Linked DNA regions of Ovis aries. The protein of the gene in region 3 interacts with the protein of the main gene of each other region in a biochemical or structural test. Links are inferred from orthologs where the notes say so. Each region holds a gene or a part of one and is shown on either strand. Other genes may lie near its edges.

Region 1 (7,552 bases), on a different chromosome or scaffold from region 3:
AGTAAGGACTCGGTGCTTTCACTGCCAGGGCCTGGGTTCAATCCCTGCTCAGGGAACTAAAATTCCACAAGCTGCATAGCATGGTCAAAAAAAAAAAAAAAAAGTGCCACAATACAGACATGCAGGAATAAAACGTGTATGTATGCGTGTGCATGTGTACAGAGTAGTGAAGGTGGCTTTAACAGGCAGACAGGACATAGTTTGTGAAGGGCTTATCTACTATACCAAGAAATTTGGATTTTCTTTTTCTTTTAAAAATATTTCTATTTCTTTTAAAAATATTTATTTGGCTGCTCTGGGTCTTTGTTGTGGCATGCAGGGTCTTTCAGTTGCAGCATTCAAACTCAGTTGCAGCATGTGGGATCTTATTCCCTGATCAGGGATCAAACATGGGCCCCCTGCATTGAAAACATGGAGTATCAGCCACTGGACCACCAGGGAAGTCCCTGAATTTTATTTTAAAAGCATCAAGTTCAGTTCAGTCACTCAGTCGTGTCCGACTCTTTGCGACCCCATGAACCTCAGCATGCCAGGCCTCCCTGTCTATCACCAACTCCCAGAGTCTACCCAAACCCATGTCCATTGAGTCAGTGATGCCATCCAACCATCTCATCCTCTGTTGTCCCCTTCTCCTTCTGCCCTCAATCTTTCCCAGCATCAGGATCTTTATAAATTAGTCAACTCTTCGCATCAGGTGCCCAAAGTACTGGAGTTTCAGCTTCAACTTCAGTCCCTCTAATGAACACCCAGGACTGATCTCCTTTAGGATAGACTGGCTGGATCTCCTTGCAGTCCAAGGAACTCTCAAGAGTCTTCTCCAACACCACAGTTCAAAAGCATCAATTTTGGGGCGCTCAGCTTTCTTCACAGTCCAACTCTCACATCCATACATGACCACTGGAAAACCATTGCCTTGACTAGATGGACCTTTGTTGACAAAGTAATGTCTGTTTTTTAATATGCTGTCTAGGTTGGTCATAACTTTCCTTCCAAGGAGTAAGCGTCTTAATTTCATGGCTGCAATCACCATCTGCAGTGATTTTGGAGCCCCCCAAAATAAAGTCAGCCACTGTTTCCACTGTTTCCCCATCTATTTGCCATGAAGTGTTGGGACCGTCCAGAACTAACACCCCCAAAAGATGTCCTTTTCATTATAGGGGAATGGAATGCAAAAGTAGGAAGTCAAGAAACACCTGGAGTAACAGGCAAATTTGGCCTTGGAGTACAGAATGAAGCAAGGCAAAGGCTAATAGGGTTCTGCCAAGAGAACACACTGGTCATAGCAAACACCCTCTCCAATACAAGAGAAGACCATACATGGACATCACCAGATGGTCAACACCGAAATCAGACTGATTATATTCTTTGCAGCCAAAAGCATCAAGAGGCAGTCTAACGGTAATCTCAACTGTCAAAACATTGTTAAAATAAATTTTAAACAAGTTTTATATACAAGAACTCACAAAAATCAAGAAGATGAAGGAATTTCAGAAAAATATAGTGAATAGTGACTTAAATATTTTAGTAGTAATTCAATCTAAACTGAAATTAAAACCAAAATGTCAGTGAACTTAAATGAGTAAAATGGAATCCCATCTCCACCCCCACCAATATTACAAAAGAACAGTAGATGCTGTTTCCTGGCTCCACAATCCACTTCCTCCAATTGTTAGAGGCACTGAATCCATCTGTTCCAAGCCCCTACCACTACCACTCCCAAGACAAAGAAAAGACCAGTCCCCGTCATTTATTTTCCTGTCAATCTACAGACCTGAAAACAAAATACAGCACTGGAATAAAAGGTTCAGCACTCTTGGATGCAAGCAATGTCATATATTATAAATGCTAACATATATAGAATGCAAAGTACAAAGAGTTAAAAAAACAGATTTCAGAATGTTTAAGACATAGGAACCACAGGAGGGAAACAAAGTACCTTAATTCAGCTGATTTCACAAAAACGTCAAAGAGCAAAATCCTCTTTTTCCCTTTTGCTATTCTACTTTTATCTGGTTTCACCAGATAAGTTTGTTAGAACTGTGTCACAATAATGAATACCATCACAAGGCTGAGAGAATTTTGGAGTCCATCAACATTAGAGTTTAGGTAGTTCAATTTCCACTTTATTTTAAAAATGAGTAGATTAGGCCCAAAGCTGCATTTTCCAAAGTGCAGAGCAAGAACAAGAAACGATTTTGCCAAGGGGGAGATGGGAGGTTCGGGAGGCAGGGGATATGGGTGTACCTATGGCTAATTCTTGTTGATGAATGACAGAAAAACACAAAATTTTGTAAAAAGCAATTATCCTTCAATTAAAAAACATTTTTTTAAAAATATACTAAAGCTGAAAAGAAATGATTTTGTTATAGTTCACGGGCTTCCCTGGTGGCTCAGTGGTAAACAATCTGCCTGCAAACAAAAGAGATGTGAGTTCGATCCCTAGCCTGGGAAGATCCCCTGGAGAAGAAAATGGCAACCACTCTAGTATTTTTGCCTGGGAAATTCTATGGACAGGGGAACCTGGCAGGTTACAATCCATGGGGTCGCAAAGAGTTCAACATGACTTAACGACTATAACAACAAAAAACAAATGGTTCAAAACAAGTGAAGTACCATAAGTGTCCCATGAGCAACAGGGCCTATTTGTTTGCTTTCTTCTTGGCTCAAGGTATTGTTCCCAATGATTAGAAAAGGTGTGACCTGTAGTTCAGTGAGCTTGTTACTAAAGTTGATTTAGAGTAAACGAGACAAACACTAAGATGCATACAGAAATTTTACTGTTTATAGGAAAGAGTGTAATATTGTTAAAAAAAAATAATGGCACAAATAAATCATTCCTTCTCTGGAACTAAGACAAAAGCAATTTTCTAGTGCATATTCACATACCATAAGCATCTAAAAAAAGAACTCCAGCAACACTGATAAACATTTAAGTTGTAGGTTAAATTATATGATCATTTTATTTACTTTCACATGACCTGTCAAAGGAGCAGAGTCATATAAAAGGTTTTTCTCCTAATTATTTACATGAATGTGTTTTTTCTCATTACCTCTTGCCAAAGGAATGAATGACAGGTGATCACTGCATGCCTTGGCATCAACTTTGCTGGCAGCGGAAACAGTAATATTTAAAAATTTTGCTATGAAATGTTTCAAGATGAGATGCCAAAGTATTCTTGCTAATGATGTCTCAAGAATTTCCATGCAAGACAAGAAAGTGGAAGAACCATTTCTATCTAGCCATACTTGCAGTATCTCACTGGGACATCTGAAAACCGATCTTAAGGGCACCACGGCAGATAGAGTAATATCACTCTCAAATCTTAAAGTATCTGCTGCTGCTGCTGCTGCTAAGTCACTTCAGTCGTGTCCGACTCTGTGTGACCCCATAGACGGCAGCCCACCAGGCTCCCCTGTCCCTGGGATTCTCCAGGCAAGAACGCTGGAGTGGGTTGCCATTTCCTTCTCCAGTGCATGAAAGTGAAAAGTTTAAGTGAAGTCACTCAGTCGTATCCAACTCTTAGGGACCCCATGGACTGCAGCCTACCAGGCTCCTCCGCCCATGGGATTTTCCAAGCAAGAGTACTGGAGTGGGGTGCCATTGCCTTCTCCGATCTGCTACAAAGACGCTACAGTATTTTCACAGTGCTGAGGGATCACTGTCAGAAGCTGCCAATTTCCATACTCTCCTCTCCCTATTGCTCCCACCCTTCCCCGAGAGATGTAAGTTAATACTCCTTTCTCATCTTCTTTTCCCAACTTTGACGAATTTCGGTTTCCTCTAACTCCCATCTGCCTTTCCTTGCATTGTGGTCACTAACGATGAGAAAAAGTCCCATGTGAAACACTTTCCGGGACTTTCCCCCGCCCCGCTTACCCTGTGGAATTCGATCCTTTACCGACCCTTTCCTTCGTGTGTCTTCCGTAAAGCCGCGTTTTAAAACTGGACTTCCCTGGACAGAATGGACTCTCCAATGCTATGAACCGCAGTACCCTCCTTCAAACAACTAGTTCAGAGTTTCTCTGATCACTGCGGCCACCATACAGTCTATTAATCCCGACCGCAGCAACACCGTGAGGGCGGGAAGTTAGAGAGTGGGAGTTTACCTCTGCTAGGTTTCTAGGAAGAGTCCAGAGAACCACCACCCTCCACCCTTCCTCCTCTGGCCGCTTGATAAGTCTCCCGGCGTCTAGCGTCCTCGATCAGGGCCGGACCTGCCAAGTCCCGGTCAGAGCGCCACCTCCTCCCCTTAAGCCCGACCTCACCAACTTTTCAACCGTCACGATACACTCTTTCTCCTTGAGATTATGATCCCAATCTTCTCCCCGGCCAGCTCACTCTTCCCCACTCCTGGAGACTCACCAAGCAGAGTTCCAGCCACTACTCTCCGGCCGCTACAGCTCTGGACACCCGCAGGCCGGACTCCCAGCTGCGACCTTCTTGCGCCTGCGCTCGCCAGCACTGCGCGCCTGCGCACTTCCCCGGCGCGGCGAGCCCGGACACACCCCTGTAGCTGGAGCCAATCACCGTGCGAGGGCTTTAAATCTCCTTGCCACGCAGGCGGAGAGCCCTGGGACTCACCCGTTTACCGGATAATTCGAGTACCGCCCAAAGGTGGGCAGTGTTCAGGCAACAAACTTTCACTGAGGGCAACCCATGTGCCTGGCCTTGTGCGGGATGAATGCTGAGGAAAAGGCGGCGAATAGAATGCCTTCCCTGACCTCTGTCTAGACTGGGAGATAGATTTGTAAACATATTATGAATGAATGAATGAATGAAGTCGCTCAGTCGTGTCCGACTGTTTGCGACCCCATGGACTGTAGCCTACCAGGCTCCTCTGTCCATGGGACTTTCCAGGCAATGGTACTGGAGTGGATCCCAAACCAGGGATCGAACCTGGGTCTCCCGCATTGTAGACAGACGCTTTACCGTCTGAGCCACCAGGGAAGTGGGAAACACATTATAGTGGACAGAATATAGTGCTTGGCATACAGAACATCCGAGGCGCCACTGGCGCACAAGGGACTAAGAGCTTTATTCTTAGGGTATCTGAAAGGGTTCCCGGAGGAAGTGAGTTTTGAAGTCATGAAGGATAAGTAGGAGTTGCACCGGAGGTACGGGGGCGGGGTGGGGGGGATGGGAAGTAGGGGTGGGGGCGGTGGGGGTGGGAAGTAGGGGTGGGGGCGGGAATAGAGGTCTCCAGACTGCGGGCATCGGAGAGTCCAAGAAGACCATAGTGCCTTCTGGAAGTTTCCTTGTAGTTCATCTAAGCTCCTCGTATATCTTCCAGTGAAGCGGGAAATGAGTTCTTAAAAGTTGGCAATGGCCAAGTCTTGGAAAATCTTGTACTTTTGAAAGTGAGCCTACAGTTTACCATGATCACTGAGAATATTGAAAAGTTTAAAAGTAGATCAGGAAATTGCTCCAGGCTCCCCTGAGAATACAGCACAGTGCTGGAAATAAAAAGTTTCAAAGGAGTTGTCTATTCCTAAGGAGTCAAGGAAGATGAAATCTGAGAAATACCACCACAGAGGTCATTGGTGATCTTAGCTATGTCATGAAATGACAAGAGTTAAAGATAGATTGCCGTAGTTTGGAGAGAGGAGATGCAGAAATGAGGACACATTATAGAATGCTTTTGGAAAGTATGGTCTTGAAGGGAATGGGAAAGAGGACAAGTGTTCAAGTTTTTTGTTTCTGCTTTTTTGGTTGCTATTAAAATTAAGACAGGAAAAACTTAAGCATGCTAGGTAAGATACAACTGAGAAAATAAATAGTTTTAAAGAGAAGCACTAGTCAGTAGATCTTGAGTGGGTAGGAGTAGAGGCAGTCCAAAGTACTGAGGGAAGGAAAGGTCTTGGAATCAAAATAGAGAAGATATCTCCTCAATTTTAATGACAGGAAGTATTTGTAAATCTGTATGTTTAGTAACAGGAAGTTAAAGAAGTTCTCATCTGTTGGCCTCTTATTTTCTCTGTGAAGTAGGAGACAAAGTCATCTACTGATAGAGAGGAGTTAGATGGAAATACCAGACCACCTAACCTGCCTCTTGAGAAATCTGTATGCAGGCCAGGAAGCAACAGTTAGAACTGGACATGGAACAACAGACTGGTTCCAAATAGGAAAAGGAGTATGTCAAGGCTGTATATTGTCACCCTGCTTATTTAACTTCTATGCGGAGTACATCATGAGAAACGCTGGACTGGAAGAAACATAAGCTGGAATCAAGATTGCCGGGAGAAATATCAATAACCTCAGATATGCAGATGACACCACTTTTATGGCAGAAAGTGAGGAGGAACTAAAAGCCTCTTGATGAAAGTGAGGGAGGAGAGTGAAGAAGTTGGCTTAGAGCTCAACATTGAGAAAACAAAGATCATGGCATCTGGTCCCATCACTTCATGGGAAATAGATGGAGAAAGAGTGGAAACAGTGTCAGACTTTATTTTTTTGGGCTCCAAAATCACTGCAGATGGTGATTGCAGCCATGAAATTAAGACGCTTACTCCTTGGAAGGAAAGTTATGACCAACCTAGATGGCATATTCAAAAGCAGAGACATTACTTTGCTGACTAAGGTCCGTCTAGTCAAGGCTATAGTTTTTCCAGTATTCATGTATGGATGTGAGAGTTGGACTGTAAAGAAGGCTGAGCGCCAAAGAATTGATGCTTTTGAAGTGTGGTGTTGGAGAAGACTCTTGAGAGTCCCTTAGACTGCAAGGAGATCCAACCAGTCCATTCTGAAGGAGATCAGTCCTGGGTGTTCTTTGGAAGGAATGATGCTGAAGCTGAAACTCCAGTACTTTGGCCACCTCATTAGAAGAGTTGACTCCTTGGAAAAGACTCTGATGCTGGGAGGGATTGGGGGCAGGAGGAGAAGGGGACAACAGAGGATGAGATGGCTGGATGGCTTCACCGACTCGAGGACATTAGTTTGAGTGAACTCGGGGAGTTGGTGCTGGACAGGGAGGCCTGACGTGCTGCAATTCATGGGGTCGCAAAGAGTCGGACACGACTGAGCGACTGAACTGAACTGAACTGAAGGTAATGGCACCCCACTCCAGTACTCTTGCCTGGAAAATCCCATGGACCGAGGAGCCTGGTGGGCTGCAGTCCATGAGGTCGCTAAAAGTCGGACGCGGCTGAGCGACTTCACTTTCACTTTTCATGCACTGGAGAAGGAAATGGCAACCCACTCCAGCGTTCTTGCCTGGAGAATCCCAGGGACAGGGGAGCCTGGTGGGCTGCCGTCTATGGGGTCACACAGAGTCGGACACGACTGAAGCGACTTAGCAGCAGCAGCAGCAAGTCAAGATTTGAACTCGGGACTGTCTGTTCTGAAGCTCTTGCACCTGTCAATAAGCTTCAGTAAATTTTACAAGGAAAGAATGATTGGAAGTTTAGCCACAACAGTTGCCACTGCTTAGGGGAACGGTGGGGACTTAGGAAGAGAGTAGGAGTAAGAGGGAAGCCTAAAAAAAGGCAAAAAGAATGGAAAAGAAAGGAGGGAGGCTGGTTACAGCGTTACAGCAGAGTCCGGTGCAGCGGGATA
Region 2 (7,520 bases), on a different chromosome or scaffold from region 3:
TTAAGGATTCAGATTTCCACAGTTCTTATCTACAAACCTTAGATATCAGATATAAATTCCATATTTTATTCCTAATCTCAAAACAGAACTTAATATAGTCCTTCAACATTTAGGAAGATATTCTATTAGTTAAATTAGATATCCAATTCAAATTCTAATAGCCCAATCCCACTTTTAAAAATCTCCTACTCTGCTCCACAGTTAAATGAAAGTAAAGACTTTGATTTACAAGTATATTTCTGTCCTAAAGACATCTTTTAGAACAAAATGTATTATAGGCTATAAGAGTCTAATATGAGAAAAAAACAAAGGACTAAAAGAAACTGAATAAAACAGTGAAAAACATAGCTAGGGCAAAAGAACAGACTTAGAATAAGTCTGCACATTAAATCAATATGGAGCTTGGAAATAAACTATAGCTGCCCAGTTTTCAAAACAAGTGGAGAAACGAACAAATTTTAAACCACATATGGTAGAAATTATATAAGAATAAAAAGATCTTAGTCACTTTCTACAAATATAAGCCATAATAAAGCTCATGAGCTTATCTTCTACCTAAACTTGACAGGAGGAATGACTAGGTGGTATTACTGGTAGACAAACCAATTTATCACTCTGGAATGTTCATATAAATCTCATAAAAGGGAAAGCAGAAATATATTTGATAAATTCCTTAATTTCATTCTAAATATAGTAAGAAAAGTTCTAAAAAAAATTAAGTGTAAATGTAAATTATAGGTTTCCTTTTCATATAGTATTTAACTATTAAACATGTACAAAAGCAAAAGACTGATATAAGTGATGAGTTTGTACACCTGATCCCTACTGTCATTTGGCAATTAACATTAGGCCTAACACTTTAACCTCTCCCCTTGCGTATTAATAATATGCTAATTACTCAAATGCATTAGGGGTAAAAAGTCTTGTTTAAGAAAAATATTTGGTCTTATAAAGTCAGCCTTGCTTGCAATACTTATTATATTAAGTTATAAAAGAAGCAGACTGGCTGTTAAAAACAGTTATGTACATAAAAAAATTAAGACCACATTGGGTCTCAACTGGGAAAACAGTAAAAATTAAACCCACTGAAAAGAAAACCAAAATAATCTAAAAATAACTAATTTAGTTCCACACTTTTCCCCCTTTGAGTCCAGGCGATACTCTCTTTGTGAACAAAAAAAATTGGCTTTTCATTCTGAACAGTCCATCTAGATCAACAACGCACTGCTTTTGCCACTACACAGAGCTGTGCTGGACAACTAGTACCCACACTGCCAAAATTTAAATCCCATCTTCACAAGACTAAAACAGGAACCCTCCAGTAGAAAGGTATTGATCACTGGATATAGGAATATCTAAACAAATGAAGTAAAAAATATTTCAGAATCAACTAGATATTTGGGCAAGAACCATTTAGACATACTGTCTTAGAAACTCACAAACTGAGATCTAGCCTGGTCAGATATTACCATTTTACTAGGTATGAGAGTACTATTGATATTTACTATGAATGATAGTCTTCACTTAGTAACACAATTCAATGAAAACTTTTATAAGCATTTTGAACATAGCACATTAATCACAAAGGAAACGAGGCACATCCTGATACCATATATAGCCCTACTTTGAAATGAAGACTTTGAAAGGTAAGGAAATGCAAAATGTTAAATCAAACATAAGCTTCCCACCCCCTCCCCCTTCTCAGGAGGCAGATAAATCTAAAATGTGGAAAGCACAGTTCCTTGTGTCTCTGTTTATTATCTGGTGGTTTTTTGCTATTTATTACCAACACATTACCTCACTAATATATAGGAAGCAAATACCCTATTGATGGTGAACAAAGCATTTTCTTTTTAAAATCTTAAGCTTAAGTTTAAAAATAAGGGCAATGTAGGTAAATGTCACAGTAAAAGTAAACACAATTTTACTTCAAGTTTTAATAGTTTGAGAGGAATTGTTAAATATTCTCCATTGTTCAGACTGAAAAAATGATCTCGAAGAATGAGTAGATATTTGGAAAAACATGCTATGATAAAATTATAGTTCATGCATAACTAGGAAATATGTCTCTATACTTCAGAGGACAGTTAACCTCACAGTATTTACATATACATCACAAATGTAGATCATGATGGGGAAACATATCAAGATAGTATACTTCTCTATTTGCATTATACTAAGAAAATGCTCTAAAACTTCTAGAAAACAGCAACACTTTGTAACTTATAAAATTTACATTTGTTTTCTAATTTTTTTAGATGATCAGGTCAGAAACAAATTCAAATTCAATCTCTAATTCAATAGAATAATAAATAGGTCATAACTGGAACATCTACTATGAACAATATTTTTAAAAAGCAAATAAAATGTGCCTCGTGCAATTGTCTTTAAGCTTCATCCTCAACATAGCCTGTTCAATAGACCACTACTATAAGCAGATATATTTCCCCTTAGAAACGTCTACCTCCTTGCAAAGACAGTAATTATTATTACAAACCTTTAGAACTCTTTTCACATGCTTTTAGCTGTGTATAAATTGAGAGTCAAGACACAACAAGGCAACACACAACCTGAACGTATGTATAATCAAGGGGAAAAACAACCACAGGATTTCACATTAATACCTGATCACACCATTTCTTTGGAATTACACAGGAAAAGCAACTAATCAGCAAAGAGAATGACTGGGGAAAAGTTCAATTAAATTAAATGAAAGGATACAGCCTTAAAGCACCAGTCTGAGTTCCCACTGCCAGGATCTTCTGTACAGGATCAAAGGCCAGGGCCGAGGGTTGATAGGGAAATCCATGGCGAACAGTCTAGGCATGGGCAAGTGACATCACAGCAACCAGGGCAGGAAGCAAAGTTTTAAAACAGAAAAGTCAACAGAGACATTAGAACCTAGAACCAATTAAGAACCTATTATAACTGAAACAAAACACACATACATGCACTGCTATTTTAAAAAAAACTATGAAAACTATGAATTCTACATCACATAAAAACTTATGCAAGTAAACACTGAAACCAAAAAAAAAAAAAAATCGATCCCAGTGTTACATTTCTACTTTCTCATCACAGAGGTACTCTAGAAAAAAATTTAACATTCTTTTTACTCTTATGTCTGAAAATAAATTATTAAAGTTGGCAGTGGTAAAAAATTCTGTAAATTCATTTAAAAATGCAATTCATGCTTATTTCAAGTGTGATAACTTCATCCTTACTTTATTTCTATGTTAAATGCAAGTACGTTTACGGAAACACTGTCATAATTAAGGATTCAGCAAAGGAATTAGCAAAAATCTATCTCATCATGTTGCAACCGTAACAGAATGAAAATAAATACAGCATCTATTTTTGCATCTTGGTATTAAATCCTTAATTTTAGGCTACTGAAGCAAAAAGTATAATACACACTTAAACTCTGACTTAACGAACGCCTGGTATTTATGAGGAAGGCAGGTATTAATACAGACACAAGTTTGTATTTCTCACTGAGCAGCTGGTGAATTAATTCGCTGCATCATTCTTTCTGAATTACACATCACTATGGCAATTGCCGTACAATTAACAGGCAAAAATTCCACTTCTAACTTTTCCACCAAACACAAGGCTAACAAGACCCTGTGATTTCATATGTGAAGTCTCCTACCACATTTTAAGGTGAAAATGAGCCAACATCCAGTTGAACACGTCTATCTTTCTCATAAACAATATTCGTTAGACACTTCCCAAAGGAAACTTGGAAGTCGGTGAAAGATCTATCAAAATGCTTGAATATAAACGTCGTTGATTAAGAATACGAATTAAAGGTCAGTATGCTGGAAGCAATCCTGAAATGACTGCCGCATGTGAAAATCAACGAAAAGAGGAGTAAGATGATGTCAATCTCCAAAATAGCCCACCAAGCAAATGTGTGCTGTGGGAGCGAGCCCTTTTATTCGCGGTATTGAGTATTATTGGCGTTCTAACCCTGGCACTCAGGCTTAAAGCCCGAGGTGCCCCTAGAACGACCCCAATTTTCGCGGGGCTGCGCGCTCCGTTCACCTTGCAGAGCTGAAAGTGCTCGGACTGGAGCGTTTCCTGGATCTCGGGCTCCCGGTTCCCAGGTAGGTGCTGCTGCTGCTGCTGCTGCTGCGAGGCCGAGGACGAGCCGGCGGTCAGGCCGTCCAGCACCTTCCTGATGTTGAATTTCCTCATGGTCGCGGCGGGGCTCCCCCGCACCCCGGGAGCCGAGGTAAGGGGCGTCCCCAGGCGGAGGGGAACCGGCCCGGGCCGAGAGCAGCTTCGACCGAGGACGCAGAGGAGCAGGCGCGAGTGGGAGTGTGAGGGGAAGGAGGCAGCTGGGGAGAAGCGAGAGATAATCCGAACAGGAAATGCTGCGACGACGAGAGAGCGCAGCGGCGACCAGAAGCCCCGCCGGCGACCCCTCTCGCTCTGAGGCCGCCGCTTCAGCCGCCGCCGCCGCCGCCGCCTCACTCCGCGGCCCGGCGGCACAGCAGTGGCGGCGGCGCCCCGAGCCCGCGCCGCCCAGCCTCACCTGGCGGCGGGCTGACTCTGCGCCGCGCCGCCGCCCCGGCTCGCCCCCGCCGCCGCCGCGTCCATGGCCAGCGGCTCCGCCGCTCGTCGCCCGCCCGGGCCCCCGCAGTCCCTCAGCGCTTCCTCCCGCTCCGGATCAGCCGCCTCCTCCTCCTCTTCCTCCCGGGGGTCGCCGGCTCTCCGCGTTCGCCGCTTGGCCTTCTTGCCGCTCAGCGCCGCTGCCCGCCGGGCATCGCACGCAGGGCGCCGGGGTGGGTCCCCGCGCTCTCTGCCTGGCTTCTCCGCGGCTGGTTCGGCCCGCCCTCGCTCGCTCCTTCAGAGCCCCGGCTGCCCTCCTCAGGCACCGCCGTCGCCGCCGCCCGCGGTCCCGCCCGGCCGCTCCCTCCCGCCTGACAGGGCGCCTCGGCACAGGGCACCAACGCCCGCTCCGAGCAGCAGCGGCAGCCGCGGTTACAGCGCTGGCCGCGGCGGTGGCGGCAGCTGGGCCTCGGCGGAGCCGGGCTGCTGAGCATGCGCACCGCGCGTACCCACCCCCTCCGCCGTCGGAGTGGAGCTGGGGCTTAAATTATCCTCTGCGAAAATCCCAGACCGTGGCTAAATTTCTCCCATCTCAGTCGCCCTGCCAGTGGATGCAGCTGGTTCTCCTGCAGCTGGGGTAGTAAAAATGTTGATGACTACCAAGCAGCAGGAAACCTTTACTTCAAAATCGGTCATTAGAGCGAGGGTTTATATTCTCACCCTTTAACGAGGCACACACTCCCTGCTGCTGGCTGCAAAATGATTGTTGCTGCTTTTTTGATGGTATTTGTTTTGGGTTGATTTGGATTTGGATTTTGGAAAAAGAGCGTCTAGACAACTGTTATTTCTGTGGCAAGAGTATGACAGACTTAGAAAGGTACTAGGAAAGGAGATGAACCTGCAGCGGGGAAATGAATTCTTTCCTGAAGCTCTTACTATTGGTAGGATGAAAGCGTGGACCTGGCAGGTAGCTGCTAGAATGGGATAGGCTGCCAAAGGGAACCGGTTCCAGGGCTGGGTGTCTGCCCCAACCAGTGACACATCAGCCCTGGATTCAGTCCGCACGCTAAGGTGGTGGAGATGGGGGTGGGAGAGAGGGTAGAAGTAAAGAGCGCGGGCACTCATTTCAGAATCTTCAATCCGTCCTGTAATGCTGTTGTCCACTAAGCAATCTCCAGTAGCTTCTTCACTCTTGCAAGGAGAAAGGGGGAAAGAAGGAAGTTTAAGCTCGAATCTTTCCATTGCTTCACTGTCACAGTCTCACTTGGATGCTCACAGGCAGATGTCTAGCTCAAGTTTGAAAAGATAGATTTATGCTGCGGTTACCTTTTCCGGAGAGTGAGTTTAACACGGAAAGGTGGATGGGAAGCAGAGGTACTGATTAGGAAGGAGTGGAAACTAGGAAAAAGTAAAGAAAAGGTTGGAAACCCATAAAGACGAAGTCTAATTAGTGAGGTGGAAGTGGGAAGAAGCGTACTCTCCCAAAGCTAGCAACTCCCAGCCCCTGACGCTTCTGAGTTACAGAGGGTTTTCTGAGCCCAAATAAGAAGTTCCCGCCCTCTTCCTTATGATTGGTCGCCTCCCGCCCGGTGCAGGGAAATTCTCGTCAGAGTATTGGTTGAAATGACAGGCTGTCAAGAACAGTCAACAAACCAGTAGCGACTGAGCCTCAGGAATTTCGGGAAATGTAGTACTCTGGAGCTTCCGCATCCAAGAACGCTGTCTTACACTAGAAACCTATAAAATTGTTTTAATATGTATTGAATTTAATATGTATTGAATATTTATTGAATTACCTAGTTAATTCACTAGGCGTAACCAGCGATAAAAACAAGTTTTAAGATTTTTTTCAGGCCATTTCTAAGTGGCTCTGAAAATTTTGTTTACTGATTACATTTTTTGAGTGTCGAACACTTTGCTAGGTACTGAAGACTCAAAGCTTTCAACGAGCTCGCCAGTCAAATAGGAGCAAACCTCAAGTAAATAAATAATTGTGAAACAATGTGATGAGTTCATTGAGGAAATCATGCAAGAGAAGGACTGAAGAGGGTTAAGGGAAGGCAGGAGAAGGCCTGGAGATGGGGAACTCATCATAGTTGAGTCCAGGTGAGGAGGAGTTGGCTAGGTGAAGAGGAGGGAAAAAAGCATTAGAAGCCAGCTGGGAGACGGTCAGAATTACCTGGAGAGCTTTTTAAAAAATAGGTATATCTCCATAGGGTGAAGGGTGAAGTCACTCAGTCGTGTCCGACTCTTTGCGACCCCATGGACTGTAGCCTACCAGGCTTCTCCGTCCATGGGATTCTCCAGGCGAGAATACTGGAGTTGGTTATCATTTCCTTCTCCAGGGGATCTTCCTGACCCAGGGACTGAACCCAGGTCTCCCACATTGGAGGCAGACGCTTTAACCTCTGTAAATTGCAAAAAAGAGAGATCACTTCCCCACAGAATTTTATGATCCACCTTTTCACCTAGTTTGAAAATATATCTGTTGGATGATTTGTCATCACTGGATTATGAAACTGTTTGGAGAAGGGACAATTTCTTGCTGAGAGGCTTTGTGGTATAGTGGAAAAATCCTAGACTCCATTGTCTGCCAGACATGGATTTCAATCCAGACCTTGGTAACATGGGCAACCTTGGACAAATTCCTTACTTTTCCTAAGGGTTAGATTCCTCATGTGTAAAATGAGATTAATACTACCTTCTTCCTTGGGTTTTGGAGGATAAACTGGGGAAGAAAAATGTAAAGTTTGCACTAATTAGGTACACATTCAGTTCAGTTCAGTTCAGTCACTCAGTTGTGTCCGACTCTTTGCAACCCCATGAATCGCAGCACGCCAGGCCTCCCTGTCCATCACCAACTCCCAGAGTTCACTCAGACTCACGTCCATCGAGTCAGTGATGCCATCCAGCCATCTCATCCTCTGTTGTCCCCTTCTCCTCCTGCCCTCAATCCCTGCAAG
Region 3 (7,610 bases):
TAAAGAACCTGCTTGCCAATGCAGGAGGCATGGGAGACCGGAGGTTCGATCCCTGGGTCGGGAAGATCCCCTGGAGGAGGAAATGGCAGCCCATGCCAGTGTTCTTGCCTGGAAAATCCCATAGATAGAGGAACCTGCAGGCTACAGTCCATGGGGTGGCAAAGAGTCGGACACAACTGAGAACACACACACGCACACATACACGAGGGCCTGACCTCACAGCCTGTGTCAACCGACCGAGGCTCTGGGACTGGATGCTCCCGGGGCATCCCTTCCAAATGCTACAACTTCCTCCTCAGGCTCTTTTCACTCTCACCCCTCCACCCACCCCCACTTCATCTCATTGCTCCAGTCTGAAATCTGATCCCAGCACGCCCCACCTATAATCATCTCCCGCCCCTAGAATCTGCCCACTGTCCTCCCTGCAGACCCCAGGCGGCTTCCCCCTGCCTGCAGTGCTGATTCTGTGAAACCGACATTCCCTTCTTCATCAGATGGCAGCTCTTTCGGAAGCCTTCCTCATCTCCCCAAGGATGGGACCTCGCTCCTCTCATTCCCCACACCCTATTCACATCCCTACTGGAGCCACTGCAACAGACTCTTAAGCCCTGGGAGACCTGAAAAGTCACCCTGGGCACAGCTTCTAGTCTCAGCTTTCACACCTCCAGTGGTGGAGAGCTCACTAGCTCCCCCAGGCTCTTCTGTCTATCTAGGGCAGCCCCAACTGTTAGAAAGCCCTTCCCTTTCCTACAAGTTGGCCCCAGGCCATAGAGAACCTGTTGGTGCCCTCTCCCTGGGCTGGCCCTGCCAGAAATCGGAGGGCCAGAGATCTGAGGGCGGCATCTGCATCCTCCCTGGTTTTTCCTTCTCAAGTTGACCAAGTTCCCTCCGCTTTAGATCCTTCCCGGAGGCCTTAAGTCGAAGCCCCCGCCCCAGATCTGTTCCACTTACTCTCTGTCTTCTCCAGCAGGACAAGATGGAAACTGAATCTGCTGCTGACTGTGGTCGGAGCAGGGCCAAAGCTCTGACCCACCACCTCCCTCTTCCTACAAAGTCGACCTCTGTTAATGCAGCCAGAGACCACAGAAGTCGTCACACAGTTCTTCCTGCCAAGGAAGAAGCCCTTCCCCTCCCTGTGTACTTGGTTGGCTTTTGGGCTCAAATGAAGGATCTTCATTTGTTCTGATCCTTGTCCCAGTCTGTGAGAATCTGATGGTTTATGCCTTTGTCGCCCCCTCCTACTTTATCCCCATCTAGGCCAAGGCCCTGATTGATTAGGGCCCCAGCTCCCTTGGGAATCGGCCAACCCTCTCAAAGTGGCAGTCACAGCTCCGGAAAGACGGCTGGACTAGAGTGGGGGACCGGAGAGGCTGTGGTGCAGAGGCGGCAGCTGGAGTCGTGAGGCAGTTACAAGCTCCGAGGTACAACTGTCTTCCGACAAACTCCCCCAGACATCACATGGGCACCTTGCCAACCACCTGGCCAGAGCTAAGTTCCACTTCTTCCTCCTGAGCCCCCGTTCTTAAAGAGTCTCCCAAGCCAGAAACTGGGGGGCATCCACTCTTCCTCCTCCTCTCATATCCAACCAACATCCAATTGGCTCTGGTGTTTGTTTTTTGATCCTGTTGTTTTTAATTCGTGGCGTCCCAGGTGGCTCAGTGATAAAGAATCTTCCTTCCCCTTGCAGGAGATGTGGGTTTGATCCCTGGATTGGGAAGATCCCCTGGAGGAGGAAACGGCAACCCATTCCAGCATTCTTGCTTGGACGATCCCATGGACAGAGGAGCCTGGTGGGCTACAGTCCACGGGGTCACAAAGAGTCGGACATGACTGAGCATGCATGCACATTTCTAAGTATCTTTCAGGGGTTCTCAACCTTGGACCAGCAACAGAGTCCCTTGGGGGTAGTTAAAAAAAAAAAAAAAAAAAAAAAAACACAACAGCTTCCAGACCAAATGAGAATCTATGGGGGTGGCGCTGGTGAGGTTGTTTTTTTTTTTTCTTAAAGCCCCCCAGGATTGGGAACCCCTGGCCTGTTCTCTGGCCAGCTGGCTATCTTGGCTCTGGTCTCATCACCTCCAGCCTGAGCAATCAGGAAAGGAAGTCAGGGTGCGTGTGAGCACTGCCCCCACCACAGGGACCTGTTGAGACAGGGGAGGGGATCCCACTAGAAGCCCCCACTGTGCAGCCCTGGTGGTCTCTCTGGGCAGAGGCACCAGGATTCCACGATCCCTTCCTGGAAATAAGAGTGCGATTCCTCCAAGAGGTGCGGAGGCCAGGCAGCCTCCAGGCCTGTCCCGGGAGATGGCGGCCGGCCAGCAGGCACGGTTGATTCATTGCTGCTGGAGCAGGAGTTGCTGTTGTCTGTCTTGAGGGCTATTTTTTTTTTCCCCTTCTTTTTAATGACTAATCAAAGCCTATCTCACTAAAGCAGAGAGGCCCAGAGCTGAGTCAGGGGTGTGCGAGAGACTGAGCTAGGTCTCCAGAAAGAAAGGACTCTCTCTGACCCCTTCCTCTTCCCCACCCTGCAAACCATGCCCCCACCCGCCCACCAGATCACCTCTGCCAGTCTACCCCGTAGCAGGGCCCCAGCACAACTCAGGGAAGCAGCTTCAGGGTGTGGGGAGGGGCTGGGCTCTGCCTCCCTCCAGGTGCTGTGTGACCTGAGATGAACTCCTGGCCCTTTCTGGACCTCAGTTTTCCACTTTGTAGAATAGGAAGTGGCACTAGACAGTCCCTGGACGTCATCTGCACCTCAGATGAACATGTGCCCAAATTCATTATTATTAATAATTTTTTTAAAGAAATCCCAAGGAGGTGATGGAAAGAAGGGCCCCTAGCCTGGGCCTATTCTTACACCCCCCTTTCTTCTGCTCTGCAGGGCGAAGTGGGCAGGCTCCATTATGCAGACAAATGAGCATAAGGTTAAAGCACCCACCTGCCTGTTCTTGCTCCGAGACCCTCAGTCCCTTCAGTCGGCAGAGGGGTCACTGGGCTTCACCACTCAGGCCCGCATGCTGTCCCGGTGAGCAAGCGGGGACTCTGGGTGTCAGGCCCAGGCATCGCCAGCCCCTCTCCCTTTTGTCACATGGGTCCCTTATATTGGCCCATCCTCCCTCCTCCCAGTCAAATCCAGCTCCTCCCCCGGGCGATCCCAGTCCTCTTCTTCCAGGAAGGTTCCTGTTCTGCCCCACGCTTCCTCCTCTCTCTGGCTCTGGCTCCTGCCACAGGCCCCCGCTGTGTCTCATGGCCCAGGAGGCGCATACACACCGTTCTGGGCCCAGGGAGGGGTGTCAGCTCCAAGCAGTCCTCGGAAAGAACACTGGGGAGACCTCTGAACAGGGGGATGGAGGTAGCTGCTGGCCAGGCTGGGGCTGCCTGGGGACACCTGTCCCTGAAGTCCCCCTGGTTTTATACCCTCTGGTCGCACACGTCCGCACCCCTCCTTGGGCTCCAGGTTGCCCTTTTGATCTCTGAGGGCTGTTGGACGCTTTCAGGCCCCCACACTGGCCCTGGATGACCCCTTCCTTCTCTCTCTGCAGGAGAGGATCAGCCCCCGTGAGAGATGAGGAGGGATGGAGAAGGCTGGAGGGCTGGGCCCGGCCTGCAGTGCGGAGGAAACATGCCAGCTCCTTCCCCAAGTGTGACTTTTATAAATAAGCTCCCTTCGCTTGCTTTCCTTCTTCCAAATGTGGTGGCGTGGGGTGAGGAAGGAGGAGGGGGGAGGGAGGGGGATGGAGGGTGGGGATGGTGCAAGCAGCTGTCCCAAGCACCACCCTCTGTCCAGCCCAGCCAGCACTGGCCTCTCAGTTCCTTGGGGATTCTGGTTCCTGGGGGTGAAGGTCTCCCCCAGATATGGAATCGGAGTCTGGAGACCTGTGACCGCTTGCCCTGAGAAGCTGGGTTCTCAGTTTTTCTATCCCTACTTCCTAGATGGGAATCTGTGCAGCCCAAAGGAAGACTTGTGGGAACGGCCGCCCTCCCTAGACTAATGGTTGCACCCCACTCAGTGTGGGCTCCTTCCAGCCGATCCTCAAGGGTGCTAGCAGCCCCTGAGGGACAGGGCCACGCAGCCACGAGTACGGCAGCCTGCGTGGGGAGTGAATGCCTGGAGTAGGGGAACATCTGCAGAGGAAGCCTCAGATTACTTTAGAGAAGCCAGACCTCATCACCTAAGGACGGGTCTGGCTAGTGTGTGTGCGTGTATATGTGCTGGGGTGGGGGAGGGATTCACCAGAGCAAAGACCGGGCTTCAAGCTCCTACAGTCCAATGTCTCTTAGGCCTTAGGTCTCAGCCACGTCTAAGTCTGACTGTTTTCAGGCCTAGGTAAAGCCCCTTTCCCTCATCCCACTTGATCTGCCAGGCTAGCCACATCTCTCTCTCATGCCTCTGTTTTCCCTTCAGTGAAGGGGATGAAGGTGATGAGTCAGAAGACGTCAGATGTCAAGGGCTCTGTTCCCCCTGAGCACTGGTTCCCACAGACACTCTGGTCTGACCCACCAGGCACCCAAACACCAGGAAATGCACTACACACCCTTCATCCCCAAGATAACAACACTCCTTCTGATTCAACCGAGCACAGGAAACTTGAGGGCAACCGCAAAGCTGGGGGGGAAGTGTTTATAGACACCATATTCGACATGAGGGACCATCTTCTTCCTTTGAAACCTCCAGGGGTTTACCCTGGAGCGGGGGGTGCTGGGCACTCAGCCAGGAATAATACAGGTCTAATGGGAGAGTGGGGGCTGGCAGCCAGAGCAAGGGGGTGATGGAGGCAGGAGGGCACAGGTACCAGCCCCAGGCTGCCCAGGAGACAAGACTGGTACAATGGGGGAGAGCCAGGCACAAGTGCAGGGAAGCTGTGTGCAGAGAGGACCAGCCATGGGATCACAAACCCAAAGGATACTTGGGACTTTCCATATAAGGGGACCAGGTCTCCAGCTCTAAGCTGGGTAGCAGGGGAAGGGTTCTAGGGAGACTCTGCCCCCACCCCTTACTCCTGCAAGAAGTCAGCAGGGTGGTCAGCCAGGGCCTCAGAGGAGCCTCAACCTGGTTTAGAGCCCTGATGTCCGGGTTCCTCACAGGCAGGCTTCACTTCCTTCTCTGCACAGTCCCGGCCCTGTAGCCCCTCCCAAGATTGCCATCTTTAAGGGCAGAGGCCAGGGGAGAGGGGCTTTGATGATAAGGAGCAGGCGCAGGGGTCTCTGTCTAGGCTGGCAGAGGGCGGGCTCTGACTCGAAACCTTTGCGCATCCTTCTGCTCCCCCCACCGGAACCACGCCCCAGAAGCCACACCCCAGTGGCCTCCGAAACACAGGTGGAAAAAAATAGGTTCAAGCCGGAATCCGATCTGGAAACCCAGGAAGGGTCTGGAAACGCCGGCTCCCGGCTGCCCGGAAGCCAAGAAGAGGGAACGAGAGCGGGCCTGACCCCTCCCGGATCGGGCAGGGCAGCAGCTGCCGATCAGCACCGGCTGGGGAGCCACAGGTGATGGGAGCTACAGGTGACGGAAGGTGATGGGGGCGGCGGCCGTCCCACGAGACAGCGCCCGCCCGAGGAGCCCGGCCCCACCCGAGCGGCCGGGTTCTGCAGCGCGCCCCGCAGCCGGGCTCTGGACAGGGGACCGCCCCTGGCCCCTTCCCTTCCCACAGGTCCCGCCGTCGGTCTAAACCAGAGGGAGTTCAGGCGGGTCAGTGAGGAGGCACGGCGGGGAGACAAGGGTCGGGACCTGCTCCGCCGGGCGACGGGGAGCCCAAGCTTCGGTCCCGCCACCGATATGCCACAATATCCCTCCGAAAACAAGGGGGGGGGCCGAAAAGTTTATCTAGGACCCCAGGTTCCAGCCGCCAGCCCGCGGGCCATCGCAGCCGAGCTCACGCGAGCTCGTGACCCCAGTGGGTCCGAGGGGCGGACCCAGAGTGCGGTGGGGTCGCCGGCTCGGCACCGCTCGCTCCCGCCCTGGCCGGGGACGCAGGGGCGACCGCCCCAGGGGCCGCCAGAGTCGGTCGGGAAGCGGACCGGGCCCTGGGCGCCGGCGGCCAGCGGCGCCGCGCAGGGGCTGGACTCACCGTGCGGAGCTCCTGGGTTCGGTCCTTCATGCTCCCGGGAGTGGCAGCGGCGCCGGCTGCAGCCCGGTGAGCCCCGCATGCGCGGCGGCCGCCCCGCGGCTGCGCAGCGCCAGCCCGGCCCCGCCCCGGCCCCCGGGACCCCGGCCCAGCCCCCAGCCCGGCCCCGCCCCGCGCCTGCCCCGCGCCTGCCCCGCCCCAGTGGGTCCCAGCCGAGAGCCCAGCTCTGGGGCTCTTGGCACCCAGGCTCCCACCCCATCCCGCTTAAGGTGCTCCGAAGGGGCTGAAGGGTCACAGACCCCGGGACCTCGTTCCCTTGCGTTCCCAACATCCGTTCGATCCCTCCCGGAGGTCGCTCCCCAGAGCCGCTGCCCCGTCCCAACGCAATCCTCCCTCGACTCAACCACTCAGCATCCCTCCTTCTGGACGCAGACTGTTTCTGGACCTTCACCTCCAGAACGCCTCACATCTCTGCTAGAGGCCAGACACCACCTCCCTCCTTAGTTTTATTGCCTTGGGGTCTGCAGCATCACCCCCTCCCCAAACCTCCAGAGTTCCAGGCTTTGTGGCTCCCACCCCTCCGGCCTTCCCCCCAGAATCTCATCCAGACTCAGGCTCAGGCCCCCTCTTTCCCCAAGATTTCTCAGTTCACAGTCTGATGCTGAGTGACCACCTCGTTTAGTTTCTACTCTCAGCAAGATTGCAGGAACCCCTCCATTTGGGGGGAAGGAGATCTAGGTTATTGCCCCATCTCGTTCTCCTTCCCCTGTATTCCCAACCCTGCATCCCAGCCCCAAGCCTGAGAGCTTATTTCCTATCTAGAAGCTGAGGGTAGCTAAGCAGGAGCCCAGCTCCACTGGACTAATGGGAAGATCTTTGCAGAGCTGGAGAGGGATGGTGGCTGGGGGTTAGTCAGTAGCAGAGGCTCCTTTCCGGGTTTCTGCCAGCCTCTTGTTGAGCAGCAGCCACTCACACACCCCCAGCTGCCCCCTCCGTGCCCTGGCCTAGACGCTCTTGACCTGGAGCCAAACATTCCCCTTTCCCCTCCCCGGGGGCTGCCAAAGGTGTTGCTCTGGAGTTGAGCCAGCCTCCTGCTGTGCAGTGTGTCAGAGCCTGGCACTTCTCCCAGACTGTGGGCTCAGGTTAGCTGGCTGGCAGACAGGCTGGAGGCACTGTTCCAGCCATCCCTTCTTCCCTAGAAAGTCCGGCCCAAAGCTAGCTCAGATGTAGCCTGGCCTGAGAGACAGCCACACCCCTTCCACTTGGCCAGACCTCAATCTTGAGTGACCCACACAGCAAGTGCTGGTTGCCCAGTTTGACAGATGCGAGACCGGGACTCATCTACTAGGAGGCTTGCCCAGGGTTACAAGGGACAGGCAGCAGGGAGAGTGCTGATTCCTGGTCCAGGGTGCTTTCCTGTGTGCAGGGTGACTCAGTGGGGTGAGTCATGGGTGCAGACCTGGAGCCGGTTGTCTGGCCCTGTGGGGGAGAGGACAGAAAGGGAGACACAGCTCCTGCCCTCACAGAGTCCTGGTATCATGCCAG
Region 4 (6,826 bases), on a different chromosome or scaffold from region 3:
CGAGCCTTCCTGTTTCCCACCACGGGGCCTTTGTACAGGCTGTGATCTCTGCCACTCTGAGACCTGACTACCTTTTGAGACTTAGCAGAGAATCGTGGGAAAAAAAAGCCTTGGACGTGGAGCTGGAAGAAAAGGCCACAAGGGCCCTAATCTGCTAATACCTGACTGCAAGGGGTGGAGAAGAGGCTTCCTGCCACGTCTTCCCTGTGCTGCAGAACTGCAGCCTCTCTTGCTGGCTCTGAGTGGGTCTTGGTGGGAAGTCAGGCTAAGAAGTGCGGATCCAGGTCCTCCCCAGCTGTGGCCCTGCATCCGTCCTCAGTGAATCCCCCAGCCCACACTTACTCCGTCAATGTCTCAGCCCCTGGACCTCCAGCACAGCCTTGTTCACTCAAGGATTCAATATAATTTAACAAAGAGCTGCTATGGACCCAGCATGTGCTAGGGGGCCCCCGCTGGGGATAGCATGCCTTTCATGAGTTAAGCTCTTAGCACATCTGATTCCACCCTTCACCTGCTCCTCAACGGCTCCGCACAACCCTCAGGATAAAGTCCAAAGTTCTTGTCCTGGTTTTCCAAGCCCTTCATGATCTGGGCCAACCTTCTTACATTCCCAGCCTCATCTCTCACCTCCTCCCTGCATGCTGCCTCCCCATGCTGCCTGCCAGCCTCACTGATCAGTTTATACCCCTGGGCCTTTGCACATGCTTCCTACCCTCTGCCAGGGACATTCTCTCTGCTTCTACTGTTTATCTATCTATTCTTTTCAGATTTGTTCTTATAGGTTATTACAGACTATTGAGCAGTGTGCCCTGTGCTCTCCAGCAGGTCCTTCTTGCCTGCTTTATGTATATCACTGTATGTATGCTAACCCCAGCTTCCTAATGTATTCCTCCCTTATCTCCTTTCCCTTTGGTAACCATAAGTTTGTTTTCTACGTCTGTAGATCCGTTTCTGTTTTGTAAAGAAGCTCGTTTGTATCTTTCCTTCCTGCTTCTACTTTTAAGTGTGGTTTGTCCTTAGGTCTTTTCTTTGTTGTCCCCTCTTTCAGAAAGCCTCTCCAATCCTCCTCAATGCGGGCAGGGCTAACCCGCCTCCCTGGTTCACCCCAGTTGTGACCTCTGACACTCTACTGTCATTGGCTATCGACCTGTCCTCTCCCCAGCTAGACTGCGCTCACAAGGGCAGGGGTGGTGCTCAGCACAGAAGAGAAGGGGCCCAGCGACAGGAAGGGCAAGGAACGGGCTTACCTGCTTCAGGGAGCCCTTTAAGGTGAGGAACATGTAGGCCATGTATCCGGGGATGAGAACCATGGAAGACAGAGCCATGAGCCAGCCCACGCCCTGGCCCCACTTGGGGAAGACGTAGCTCCCCATGGTGAGAGGGGTCATCTGCACGGCGCTGAAAATGAACACGCCCTGGGGCGGGGGCGAGAGGGAGGGGCCGGCGGTCACCCAGACTGGACTGCCAAGGCCCTTCCTCAGGCCCTGTAGATGGCAGGGCCACTGCGCTCCACCCTGCCCTGGAGCTGACAAGGGCCCAGCATCTTGGGAATCCCGCATCCAGGGCCACTGCTAGGATATAAGGTAACTTTGTGTAGAACAGAAGAAGCCACCATCTCTGAGAGGACCAATAATAAAAGGTGCCTTCTCTGTGACAGCCAATAGAAAAGGGCCTCCCTGCTGGGAGAGCCAATAAGAAAAAGGTGCCCTCTCTGGAAGAACCAATAGAAAAAGGCGGTTCCTCCGGGAGGACCAATTGCAAAAGGCATCCCTTCGTCCAGGTAACTAGAACAGGGGTGGGAGGTCGCCCCAGCCTGCCGTTGGCTGGGTGCCCTTGTGCCGCACACAATATATACAGTGGCCCAGGCCCACTGCAAAGACCTGGGTGGTCCCTCCCAGGCCGGTTCCTGCCTTAGTTCCCCCTTGCAGGAGGGAATGAGGGACGCTGAGAATGCGGGGCCTCCCCACGTGGATGGTTTGGCTTCAGAATCAGGCCAACACGGTTTGAGGACAGCACCTGCCCACTGGGTGAGGCTGGCTGGTGAGCCCCAGCCCCCCACAGCAGTGAAGTGAGGCAAAGACAGCTACTGTGCTGAGGTTTGTGAAGACTCCAGGGAACAGAGGAAATGCTCAGCACAGATGGGAGAGAGCAGTATTCCTAGGGAATAGAGGTCTGGGGCTCTTCCACCTGCCTTTGGCTCCGGAAGTTTCTCTCTGGCCCCGAGTCACCCCAGGGTCCGGTCTGGCCCTGCCCTTACCGCCACAATGATGGGGGTGAAGAAGGACCAACAGAGCTTCCACCAGATGCAGGGCCTGGAGCCGACCATCTCTTGGATGTTGTCATAGAACCGGTTGACGCCTGTGACAGTTGGGACGAGAGCAGGAGGGATGAGAGAGCAGTGGGCTCGAGGCCCCGACCTGCTGCTTCCTCACACCGCAGCCACGGCCAAGTCACCTAACCTCTCTGAGCCTCAGTTTCCTCGTCGGTAACACAGGGCGAATGCTCCAGGGTAGGGAGTCCTTGTTAGCTAAGTGCTCAATAACCAAAGCCCCCCCCCACCCCCACCACCCCCAGCAAGTGGGGCAGTCACTTGAAGGTGAGACCATCTACCACCAAGAGGATGTACCTACAGGAAGGAGCCCCACCAGCCTCAGGTCCCTCCCACTCAACATCTCTCCCAGCAAGGCCTTTGAAGCTTTGCTGGGCAAAGGTTTTCCCTGCTGATCTATTGCATGAGCGGCTGCAGATAAGACTGCATGGAAGAACTCCCAGTCGTGCAGAAAGAAGCCGCAGAGGTCCTGAAGTTCACGAGAGTTCACACTGGGCGCTGCTCAGACTAAAAGCAAGGTCATTGAGAATGAGGACCTGGGAGGGTCAGACCAGGTGGAGAGCAAGAAGGGAGAATGATGAGGAGGGTGAGGGGGCAGGGCTACAGGGACCCCAAGGGACCCTGGAGAACACTTCTTCCAAAACCACCAGCTTGCTGTGAAAACCAAAGTGCCCAAAAGGACAGCTTTTTCACTATCAGGCAGTTGAGTCCAGAAACTCAGGCCACAGGATCAACAAACACAAATCACCATGTCCTGCATTCTTTGTTCTATGATTGTTGCCGTTGTTCAGTCGCTAAGTCACGTCTGACTCTTTGCATCCCCATAGATTGTAGCACACCAGGATCCTCTGTCCTTCACTATCTCCCAGAGTTTGCTCAAATTGACATCCATTGAGTCGGTGATGCCAACCATCTAATACTCTTCTAATACCCTCTTCTCCTCCTGCCCTCGATCTTTCCCAACATCAAGGTCTTTTCCAATGAGTAGCTGGCTCTTCGTATCAGGTGGCCAAGGTATTGGAGCTTCAACTTCAGTGTCAGTCCTTTCAATGAATACTCAGGGTTGATTTCCTTTAGGACTGACTGGTTTAATCTCTTTGCAGTCCAAGGGACTCTCAAGAGTCTTCTCTGGTACTGCAGCTTGAAAAGCAACTTGAAAGGTGCTCAGCCTTCTTTATGGTCTAGCTCTCTTAACCGTACATGACTACTGTTCTAAAACACTGCATGCTTTTACTTATAGTTTAGCTTTTAAAAAATATTTAACTTTAGAACTTTTTTTTGTAGTTTTGCTTTTCTTTTTCTAGATACAATTTGAAATAATCTTTGATCCCCAAATTTATGAAGAAATGTTGGCTCCCACTTTAAAGGAGTTTAACTCAAGAGTTCAGTTCAGTTCAGTTCAGTCGCTCAGTCAAGTCCAACTCTCCCGGAGTTTACCCAAACTCATGTCCATCGAGTTGGTGATGCCATCCAACTAGCTCATCCTCTGTTGTCCCCTTCTCCTTCTGCCTTCAATCTTTCCCAGCATCAGGGTCTTTTCCAATGAGTCAGCTCTTTGCATCAGGTTGCCAAACTATTGGAGTTTCAGCTAGGGTATCTTCTAAACATGGGACGTCCTATGCTAACTTCATTGAATTGCTGTGAGGACCAAATAAATTAATGCATGGAAAAGGCCTGGTGTTGAAACTGTATTTGCAGAATGATGAGTGGAGGAAGGATGACTGGATGGATGAAGGAATGAATGGCGGAGGAGGGGCTGGTGCTTACCGTAAAACCAGGAAATGGAGACACATTCAAAGAACACGAGGAACAGAAGGCTCATGCCGCTGGCTGAGTAGTAATCGAAGAGTTTGAAGACATAAATGCCCCCCTGCAAGAGGAGAAGAGGGCAGAATGGGTCCACTTACCCTGGGGTCCAGTGCATTCAATTCAGCGTCAACATAGGCTGTGCAGGTTGGGGTTAGGCTACCCTGCAGCAAGAAGGCCTGACAGTAGATTAGAGGAAGGGCAGGGGGCCTTGCAGCCCTGCAAGGATGTGAGCGTGGATTCTGGGGACCAGGAATAAAGTGTCTGAGTGGCGGATGCAAACACCCCATTTCTGGGAAGGCTGGAGGGCAGAAAGAGGAGCTGGTCACCCGAGCCGCATGTTCACAATGTCAAACAAGTCATGTCTCCCCCCATAAGCTCTTCCATAACTTAAATAAGACCGTAATGTAACACATAAAAAGACAGATAAAATAAAATCCAAAACGTATTTGGAACGTCCTGCCCAATCCGGCTCTGCACCCACGACCTACCCCCCGACTCCGTCACCTCGACACTGGCCTTCCTCCTGTCCCCCACACTCGCCAAGTCCATTCCCACCCCAGGGCCTCTGCACCTGCTGTGGAGGTCTCTCCCCTGGCGAGGCCTCTCCCTTGGCTGGCTCTCCCGCACCAGTGAGGCCCTCCCGCCCTGCTGCTCATTCTCCATCCACTCTCCCATCTCATTCTGCCACATTAACTGCAGAATCTGCAGGGTCACGCCAGACCCACAGCAGCCGGTGAGCAACAATGAAGAATGGAGTAGCAGAGCAAGGATAAACCTGGGGCCAAACGGCATCTGGATCCAGGGATGGCTTTTGCGGCTCATAAATCAGACCAACAGGGCTGGGCTCACAGCTTCAGGCTCATTTGTATTTATCATGTAATTCCTCAGTTGTGTGTCTCTCTTCCAACTAGACTGGAAGCTCTTTCTTTAAAAAAACAATTTTATTTATGTGTTTGGCTGTGCTAGGTCTCAGTTTAACTGAGGCACGTGGGGCCCTCAGTTGTCGCACTCAGGATCTAGTTCCCTGACCAGGGATGGAACCCTGGGCCCCCTGCACTGGGAGCCCAGAGTCCTAGCCAGCGGACCACCAGGGAAGTGCCTTGGAAGCCTCTGAATGCAGAGAGGCCTGCTCACTCTCCGGATAGAAACAGGAAGGTGGAAATGAAAGGAAAGGAGAGCATCAGCCTCCAAGGCCCAGCTGCAACCTGACTCCCCGGGTTAACTCTGTGAGTCTTTCAGGCTCAACCCCGCATTTCCTCCTCCAGGAAGCAGTCGCTGGGGCCCCACGTCAGGTTGGGGAGGCTGTGTTCTCATTTCCCCCTCAGCGTCTGCATCTCCCACCAGCCTGGGAGCCCCTTGAAGGCAGGAACCCTGTCTGAGTCATGGCTTGGGGCCTGGCACAGAGACGGTGCTCAGCAGACACATGAGAGGGGGCACAGCAGGCCTGCTGGGGGCCCCAGGTAGCAGCAGCGGCAGAGACGTGCCAGGCGCCCACCTGGGTGATGTTGGACAGGCCGATCAGGTAGGAGACGAGGCAGACGGCGGCGATGAACAGCTCCCGGCGGTTGCGGAGCAGCCTGGGGTACTCGTCCACCAGTGCGGTGATGAAGCCCTCCACTGTGCAGAACTGCGGGGGGGCGGAGGTCAGCCACCCGGGCAGCTCCAGCCCCCACCCCCCAACCCCAACCCCAACCCAAGCCTGACCCTTGGGCCCAGCAGGGCCAGGAGAGCCTGGGATCCAGGCCTGACTCTCCCGCCACCTCCCTCCGTGACCTCAGAAGAGGGCCTTCCCTCTGGGCATCAGTTTCCCCATCTGGAAACTGGGCAAGGTGGCTGACCTGCCCCTAACATCTCACATGCCGGAATATTCTAGGGGGTCTGAAACTCGTGGCCATGTTCCCAGGGACCTAAGACAGTGGGCTGCTCTCCTGGCTGGTTCCTGGACCCGGGAGGCTGGCAGGGGCTCCTCGAGGTGCCAGGGACGGCGTCCTCACCTGGCTATCAATGCCCAGCATGAGCAGCATGGAGAAGAAGAGGATGGCCCAGAGCGGGGAGATGGGCAACTGGGTGACGGCCTCCGGGTACGCCAGGAACGCCAGGCCGGGGCCTGTACAGGGAGAGGCAGAGGAGGAGAACACACGAGGCCCTGAGCGCCCGCGGCCACCCCAGCACACTTGCCGCCTAAGCTCCAGCTCACCTCACGTTCAGAGTCATCTTTTCAGAGAGTGTTGTCAGCCTCCCTTTCCAGACAAAGAAACAGTGTGGGAAGGGGCTGGGAGGGAGGCAGGGGGTTACCGGGTTGGGTTCGGAGGCAAGGGGACCAGTGAGATGAGATGAGCGACGGCAGGGGCCTGGCCAGCGGTGTGGGGACTTCCAGGTGCAGAGAGGGGGCCAGCTGCGGAGACACTCAGGAGGCAGAGTGGGCAGCTCCTGGTTTTGGCTGGTTTGTGAGGGAAGATGAGGGAAGCACCAGGATGCTGCTGGGGTCTGGCCTGGGCACTGGACACTAGAACCCTTTGCTGTGATGGGAACACACGGTATAAGGCTCAAGGAGTTTAGAGGAGTTTGTGTCTGAGTGTCTGGCGGTGGGACAGGGTGGGGCAACTATTCAGGAGATCAGGGAAAACCTTGGAACAAGGAGATTGTAACCTCCCTGGGGTCTGGGTCTGGAAAGGGGGCAGTTAGGAA

The links.
Region 1: the proteins of STX1A (region 3) and SNAP23 form a complex in vitro, tested with the Homo sapiens proteins (3 studies listed by BioGRID). The link is inferred for Ovis aries from reciprocal best matches to the Homo sapiens genes STX1A and SNAP23.
Region 2: the proteins of STX1A (region 3) and STXBP5 form a complex in vitro, tested with the Homo sapiens proteins (2 studies listed by BioGRID). The link is inferred for Ovis aries from reciprocal best matches to the Homo sapiens genes STX1A and STXBP5.
Region 4: the proteins of STX1A (region 3) and SLC6A1 form a complex in vitro, tested with the Homo sapiens proteins (2 studies listed by BioGRID). The link is inferred for Ovis aries from reciprocal best matches to the Homo sapiens genes STX1A and SLC6A1.

The regions. Positions count from the first base shown.
Region 1 is NC_056060.1:36,050,061-36,057,612, reverse strand, and holds the start of SNAP23 (synaptosomal-associated protein 23), read right to left. Parts: upstream 4,429-7,552; 5' UTR 4,364-4,428; intron 1-4,363. UniProt on the Homo sapiens protein: Essential component of the high affinity receptor for the general membrane fusion machinery and an important regulator of transport vesicle docking and fusion.
Region 2 is NC_056061.1:71,707,194-71,714,713, reverse strand, and holds the start of STXBP5 (syntaxin-binding protein 5), read right to left. Parts: upstream 4,328-7,520; 5' UTR 4,201-4,327; coding exon 4,048-4,200; intron 2,820-4,047; coding exon 2,722-2,819; intron 1-2,721. UniProt on the Homo sapiens protein: Plays a regulatory role in calcium-dependent exocytosis and neurotransmitter release. Inhibits membrane fusion between transport vesicles and the plasma membrane.
Region 3 is NC_056077.1:34,005,618-34,013,227, reverse strand, and holds the start of STX1A (syntaxin-1A), read right to left. Parts: upstream 6,127-7,610; 5' UTR 6,099-6,126; coding exon 6,069-6,098; intron 3,676-6,068; exon of another isoform or gene 3,543-3,675; intron 3,026-3,542; exon of another isoform or gene 2,882-3,025; intron 1,791-2,881; exon of another isoform or gene 1,688-1,790; intron 1,422-1,687; exon of another isoform or gene 1-1,421. UniProt on the Homo sapiens protein: Plays an essential role in hormone and neurotransmitter calcium-dependent exocytosis and endocytosis.
Region 4 is NC_056072.1:55,028,303-55,035,128, reverse strand, and holds part of SLC6A1 (sodium- and chloride-dependent GABA transporter 1), read right to left. Parts: intron 6,246-6,826; coding exon 6,133-6,245; intron 5,766-6,132; coding exon 5,634-5,765; intron 4,200-5,633; coding exon 4,097-4,199; intron 2,359-4,096; coding exon 2,258-2,358; intron 1,416-2,257; coding exon 1,248-1,415; intron 1-1,247. UniProt on the Homo sapiens protein: Mediates transport of gamma-aminobutyric acid (GABA) together with sodium and chloride and is responsible for the reuptake of GABA from the synapse. The translocation of GABA, however, may also occur in the reverse direction leading to the release of GABA.